2 linked regions of the Cricetulus griseus genome follow. The protein of the gene in region 2 interacts with the protein of the main gene of each other region in a biochemical or structural test. Links are inferred from orthologs where the notes say so. Each region holds a gene or a part of one and is shown on either strand. Other genes may lie near its edges.

The links.
Region 1: the proteins of histone lysine acetyltransferase CREBBP (region 2) and Chuk form a complex in vitro, tested with the Homo sapiens proteins (2 studies listed by BioGRID, with this or other methods). The link is inferred for Cricetulus griseus from reciprocal best matches to the Homo sapiens genes CREBBP and CHUK.

Annotation. Positions count from the first base shown.
Region 1 is NC_048596.1:17,443,884-17,447,634, forward strand, and holds the start of Chuk (inhibitor of nuclear factor kappa-B kinase subunit alpha), read left to right. Parts: upstream 1-1,357; coding exon 1,358-1,462; intron 1,463-3,751.
Region 2 is NC_048600.1:42,574,433-42,577,606, reverse strand, and holds part of histone lysine acetyltransferase CREBBP, read right to left. Parts: intron 2,406-3,174; coding exon 261-2,405; 3' UTR 1-260. UniProt on the Homo sapiens protein: Acetylates histones, giving a specific tag for transcriptional activation. Mediates acetylation of histone H3 at 'Lys-18' and 'Lys-27' (H3K18ac and H3K27ac, respectively).

The DNA of each region.
Region 1 (3,751 bases), on a different chromosome or scaffold from region 2:
GTCAACATTATCCTGTCTGTAGTTTTAAGTATCTCCTATTCTTGAGGGCAAATTATGAAATTATATCCCATCTGTGGAAACTGGAAACACTCCTATCTGCCATACACAGCAAATGAGGTTCTCAGAGGCTCGTTTGCTATTACTTTCAAGTTTGATATTCCAACTCCATGGAATACATGAAAATTATAGAATCAATTAGTCGGGTACTTATTATCAGTGACCCACAACACCGACTTGCATACAGACCCTGAGAATTTGATTCTATGCCAAGTCTTACACTTCTGAGTGATTAGCATCCCTACTGTCAGCCTGGTGGAGTGCGACAAGCCTGAATTAGATGGAGGAATAACAAGTTCTAGACCACCCTGGATTACATGAGACCCCGTCTCAAAACAAAACACCTAGGTTCCATGAAGCAGTTAACCCACTCAAATGGAAAGGCGGATACCTTCCCCTGTGCAACCCACCACTCAGAAATATGCCTTACTGGACCAAGAGCACACCAAGCTTGTCTTTGCAACCCTGTAGTGCATCCAGGAACAATTCCAACCCAGAACCACTGCACTGGCAAGCCTGAAACAGCAAGGCTGAGAAGCAGCAGGATCCGTGAGGTCGGATGGGAGACTCACATGTCCGGAAGAAACTTTTCACCCTGGAACAACGTCATATCTTTGGGTGGTTTGGGATTATAAGAGGTTTTGAAAAGATGTACGGAAAGGGTAATGAATAAACGGGCCGGTTAGCGCGGTTTCTTTCATGTTTATGGTGGCCTTTACCAGTGGGTTACGGTAGGGCAGGGCTCTGAAAAAGATAAAATGTAGACGGGGTGGGGACCATACGAAGAATATGACGTTTAGGGTTTGGAGAGATTTATGTTAAAATAAAGACACGCATGAAACCCTCAAAGAACACACACACACAAATCTCAAAATGAAAATCCCACACACGAAGGTCCTCTCGGTGCACCCGCTCGTGCCCAGCCCACTCGCCCGCACCAATCCCAGAAGAGACCTGTTCTCAGAGGCTCATTTGCTATTACCTTCAAGTCTGATAATTCCAATTCCGTGGACTACATGCAAATCATAGAATCAATCAGTCGAGTACCACTCATGACCCGTGACCCCTAACACATCGACTTGCGTACAGACCCTGAGAATTCGACCCTACGCCGAGCCTGACGCTTCCGAGTTATTAGCATCCCCAGTGTCAGGCCGGTGGAGAAGGGGGCGGGACTTTTCCTACGGAAGCTATCGGAAGTGACGTGTAGGTCTCGCGAGCAGAAGGGCGCGCGAGCTCGGCGGCCCGGAACCGGCCTTGGACCGGCGGCGAAGCCTGAGGCGGCTGGCGCTCCCGCCCCATGGAGCGGCCCCCGGGGCTGCGGCCGGCCGCGGGCGGCCCCTGGGAGATGCGGGAGCGGCTGGGCACCGGCGGCTTCGGGAACGTCTGTCTGTACCAGCACCGGGTGAGGCGGGGTGGGGGGCGGCGGCGGCGGCGCCGGGTCGGTCCGGGCGGCCCTGGGACAGCGGCTGTCAGTCAGCGGGAGGGGGCGTGGAGACCTTGGGGTGCTGGGGCCGGTGAACGAGCGCGGCCGCACTTAGGGCCCTGGTGAGCCTGGTGGCCGGCCGGGTGCCGGGTGAGAGAGAGGAAGCTGCTGCAGCTGTGTGTGGTGACGAGGAGTGTGTGTGTGTGTGTGTGTGTGTGTGTGTGTGTGTGTGTGTGTGTGACAATGTGTGTGTGTGTGACTGTGTCTCTGTGTGTATGTGTCTGTGTGTGTGTGACTGAGTGTGAGTCTGTGTGTGTGTGACTGAGTGTGAGTCTGTGTGTGTGTGACAATGTGTGTGTGTGTGACTGTGTGTGTGTGTGTATGTGTCTGTGTGTGAGTGTGTGTGTGTGTGACTGTGTCCGTGTGTGTGTGTGTGTGAGTGTGTGTGTATGACACTGTGTGACTGTGTGTGTGTGTGTGTGACACTGTGTGACTGTGTGTGTGTCTGTGTGTGTGTGTCCCTGTGTGTGACTGTGTGTGTGTCTCTGTGTCTGTGTGTGTGTCTGTGTGACACTGTGTGACTGTGTGTGTCTGTGTGTGTGTGTGTGTGTGTGACTGTGTATGTGTGTGTATGTGTGTGTGTCTCTGTGTCTGTGTGTGTGTGTGTGTGTGTGTGTGTGAGTGTGTCTGTGTGACACTGTGTGACTGTGTGTGTGTGTCTGTGTGTGTGAGTGACTGTGTGAGTGTGTGTGTGAGAGTGTGTGTGCGTGCGCGTGTCTGTGTGTGTGTGTGTGACTGTGTCTCTGTGTGTGTATGTGTGTATGTGTGTGTGTCTCTGTGTCTGTGTGTGTGTGTGTCTGTGTGTGACACTGTGTGACTGTGTGTGTGTCTGTGTGTGTATCCATGTGTTTCTGTGTGTGTGTGTGAGTGTGTGTGTGTGTGTGTGTGTGTGTGTGTGTGTGTGTGTGTGGTGACGAGGAGTATGTACAAATATCAAGGATCTCTGTGTGTGTCCCTGCCCGCACACTTGAGTAAACAAGGAAAGTCCTTCCTGGTGTCCAGAGTTGAACCTGTGGAAACATTGACAGACTCTGGAATTGGCACATTCCAGTCCAGGCAAGAAACAGTGTGAGGGTGAGGTGGTAAAATGATCCTTGCTTCAAAGAGAAGGAAATAGACTGAGGGGTTTGTTCTGCAAAAGACGGGTTTGTTATGTAAAAGACAACTAACATCAGGTTCGGGAAATTTGCTTGGATTTAATTGAAAATGTTTAACCATTGCAACAGCAGTTATTTGTACTTTTAAAGGATTTTAAAGCTAACCCTCACCTTCCTTATTTTAATGTTGTTGATGGTAGGAGTGGAACACAGGCTTTGCACATGCTAGGCAAATGGTCTAACCCTGGGTTACACATCCTTAGCCCCAGTTAATCAGGTTTGAGTCATGGGTCTTTTGATAATTCAATAAAAACTATGAATCTTCTCTTCAAAAAATTAATATTCATACAAACCAGTGTATTACCACTGAGGGTTTTGCTCTCCTGAAGAGTGTTAGCTGATTTCTGTATTGGGCACTAAAGGCGCCCCAATCAACAAGAACAGTATTTTCCACCCTGAAGGAAACTTAATTTCAGAGAGAGATTGACATAGACACAAAGTACATCTGGGCATAGTGGCATATACTTGTAATCCTAGCACCCAGGGTCCAGAGACAAGAGAATTTTGAGTTTGAGGCCAGCCCCTGAGTGGGCTTCATACTGTGGTCAAGGCCAGCCTGTCTCAGAAATAAACATGGGTTCAGTGTAATCCTAGACACTGAAAGTACTGGCAGTGTGAGTAGCCAAAGAACTTTCCCTAGGGAATAGGGTACAAGTTCTCAAAGGGTGTTTGAAAAACCTAGTTCCATATAATACATTAAAGAAAGAATTTGGAAGAAGCCAGGCATGGTGGGAACACTTGGGAGACTGAGGTCCATGGGCCACAGAGTGTTCCCTTTTTAAAGAAGTGTGTATGGGAAGGAGATGTAATTCAGTGATAAAGTACATACCCAAGGCCCTGGGTTCTATCCTCAGTACTATAGATCTACCTGCCACACACTGAAAATAATCTGGTCGGGTAGGACTTGGGATCTCAGGAAATGCGTCCACAAAACATATGCAGACAGAGAGGATGGATGTCAGTCGTGTGCAAATACTGCAATGGACTTGGGCAGCATCCTCTAGATTTCAGCGTCCTCTGGAGGCCCTAGAAGCTGTCATCTGCAGACTGA
Region 2 (3,174 bases):
AATCCACCCTTCCATGCTTGGGAGTCACAGTCCATCTAGGCGTAATAAAAAGAGCCCAGACGCCTGGATTTTCAGTACAAAAAGTCCAAGAACATGAAAGGGGAGGGGGGAAAAACAAAACAAAACAAAACAAAAAAAAAAAAAAAAAGAAAAAAAAAAGAAAAGAAAAAAAGAAAAAAGAAAACAAAAAACCCCCAAAAAATAATAAAATAAAATAAAATCCCAAAACAAAAAACCAAACACCCAATGCTCTCATAATGCTACAAACCCTCCACAAATTTTTCTAGTGTGTCTCCCGTGGTATCACCAACCAGGGACAGTTCACTGGACAGCGCGCTCCTGTTGGGGGTATTCAGCTGGGGGAGCATTGCACTCTGTTCGGGGTTCCCCAGGTGTCCCTGATCCATGGAGCTGGCCATGGTGACTGCGAGTCCGGGGTGGGGGGAGCCAGTCTGGGGTGAAACATGGTGTGGTGAAGGCTGGGGCTGTATCCGTGGTGATGGGCTGGAATGTGGAGGCTGGGATTGGGGCCGTGGAGACTGGACAGGGGCTGGAGACCGCACCTGGTTACTAAGGGATGTGGCGATCTGCTGGCCGGGGAGATGCGAGGCCTGTGGCTGTCCTGAGAGCATGTGCTGCTGGGGGCTCATGGGGTTCGGCTGGCCTGGGGACCCAATCTGCTGCTTCATCTGCTGCTGCTGCAGAATCCGCTGCTGTAGGGCCTGCTGAATGCTGGGGGTGCTGTCTGCCCCCAGCCCAGGCTGCCCCATTTGGCCAAGTTGTCCCATTGGAGCAGCCATCTGGCCCATGGAGCTACCCTGGATGGGGAGGTGCTGTTGCATACGTTGCTGCTGCATGGCTGGGGCGTAGCCTCCAGGTCCTTGTGGCTGCTGGAACTGGCCATGTCCTGCCATGCCCCCGGCCATGCTGGCACTGCTTTGTTGCTGCTGTTGCTGCTGTTGCTGCTGCTGCTGTTGGTGCTGTAGCAGCTGTCTCCTAACCATTTCTCGGTACTGTGGATTCATGTTTGCCATGTTGGGGTTGTGTCCAGGGTTCATGATGTTCAGAGCCTGTCCCTGGGGATTCAGGCCTCCCATCGCCTGTTGCTGTGGAGGCACACCAGGCCGTGGCACACCAGCTTGCATTGCATTCAGGTTCTGCAGGCTGGGCTGCTGGTGCATGCCGGGCTGGGGCTGCATACCAGGCTGGGACTGAAGTCCAGGCTGGGGCTGCATGCCAGGCTGATTGGCCACATACTTGGCTGTGCGCTGTTTAATGAAAGCTGCCATTAGCTGTGGGTTTGATTTGAGGATGTTCAGCACCTGCTGCTGCTGCTGAGGGGAGCTGGGCGACTTCAGGGTCCGAAGCAGGTCTTGCAGGGCACTTGGCGAGATGCTCCTTGGTGGCTGCACATTGGGCATCCGTGGCCCAGCCACTGCTGCCTGGGCCTGCATAGACATCACAGGCCTGGGCATGCCTGGCATTGGCTGCTGCTGGGGGATGGGTGCCTGCTGCCATTGCCCAGGTGGCATGCTAGACATGACAGGCCCACTGACTTGGTTGGGACGGGGCACATTCAGGCCCACAGGGGCCATCTGGCTCCCTGGGGTTCCCATACCTGCACGCCCTGGGGGCATGCCATTGTTGATGTTTGCTCGGTACAGATGCTGCTGCTGCTGGGCCTCACGTTCAATTTGCCTTGCTGCTTCTACTGCCGCAGGTGGGGGCTGGGCAGGAGGTGGGGGAGCTGGCACCTGGTTGGTAGGCTTCCCAGCAGACACTATCGTTGGGGGCTGAGTCCGGGCTACATTAGGGAAGCCAGCTGGTGACATGTTTACAGGTGAAGGCTGAGGCTGGGCAGGGGGCTGTGGTGTTTGGGGTGTGCTGGGCTGCTGTGTGGGGGTCCCAGGTGGTGCTGAGGTAGGAGAAGGCAAACTCTGCTGAGGCACATTGCGGGTGTTCATGGTGGCCATTCGACGGCGCATGAGCTGGGCCTGCTGCAGGCGATGCTGGATCTGCTGCTGGCGGAGCTTGTGTTTGATGTTGAGGCAGAAGGGCACAGGGCATTTATTTTCTTGGCAGTGTTTGGCGTGGTAGCAGCAAAGAGCAATGAGCTGCTTGCATACGGGGCATCCTCCATTAGTCTTGCGTTTACAACCCTTGGTGTGCTGCACTACTCGTTTCATCTTCTGGCAAGATGGCAGAGAGCAGTTGGCATTGCGACACTGGCAGGCATGGACCAGGGACTGGATGCAGCGTTGGATGCTGAGACGCCGGGACTCCTGGGGGCTCTTGGACTGTGGCTCACCTTGACTGCTGCCCTCATCGTCTAGGCCCAGTCCCCACTTCACCATTTTATGGGTGTGGCTCTTTGTGTTGTAGCAATTGATACAAAGGTCATAGTCCTGTAGAGAAGCAAAAGGGACAGACCAACATCAGCATAGGCCTAGAATGAGCAGACACCCTTGGGCAGGGGAAATAGTTAGGCCTGAGGCTTGAGCAGTTATTAATGATACCCTTCCTTCTTTACTTCATGTGCTTTGGGAAAAGCATCAAGACCTCCCCTTGAGACTTAACAGCAAGAACTAAGAATACCATGGCCATTTATTCCAAGTACTACCAGAGGATATGAGACACTATCCCTGGGAGAAATGAATCAAATGATCCTTCCCCAAAACAGATAGCCCAAGTGGCTGAGAGATACTTGAACTTAGAAACTAAAAAGGAAGCATTAAATCTGAAGAAGGATGGGGGCTTGGGAGATAGTTCAGCGGGTAAGAGGATTGGATGGTCAAACATGAGGACCCGAATTTGGATCCTCAGCATTCACACAAAAATCCAGTGCTTGTATCGCAGCACCAGGCAGGAAAGAGGTAAGAGGACTGCTGGGGCTTGTGGGTCACCAGTCTAGCTAAGGTTCAGTGACAGATGTTTTCTAAGGTTATGAAGTAAAGAGTTACAGAACAACTCTCCTCTGGCCTCTGTATGTACACACAAAAATAGTTTCCCTACACACATACCACCCACATCCACACATAAATCTAGAAAGAAAACACAAAATCCTACACTTTGTGAAATAGAAAGAAGACAGAGAAGCCTGGAGAAAGCTAGAGGAAAATAAGAATTTAAAGGTAAGAAAGAAGGAAGGGCTAGGCAGCCTTTGTTTTGCCCAGG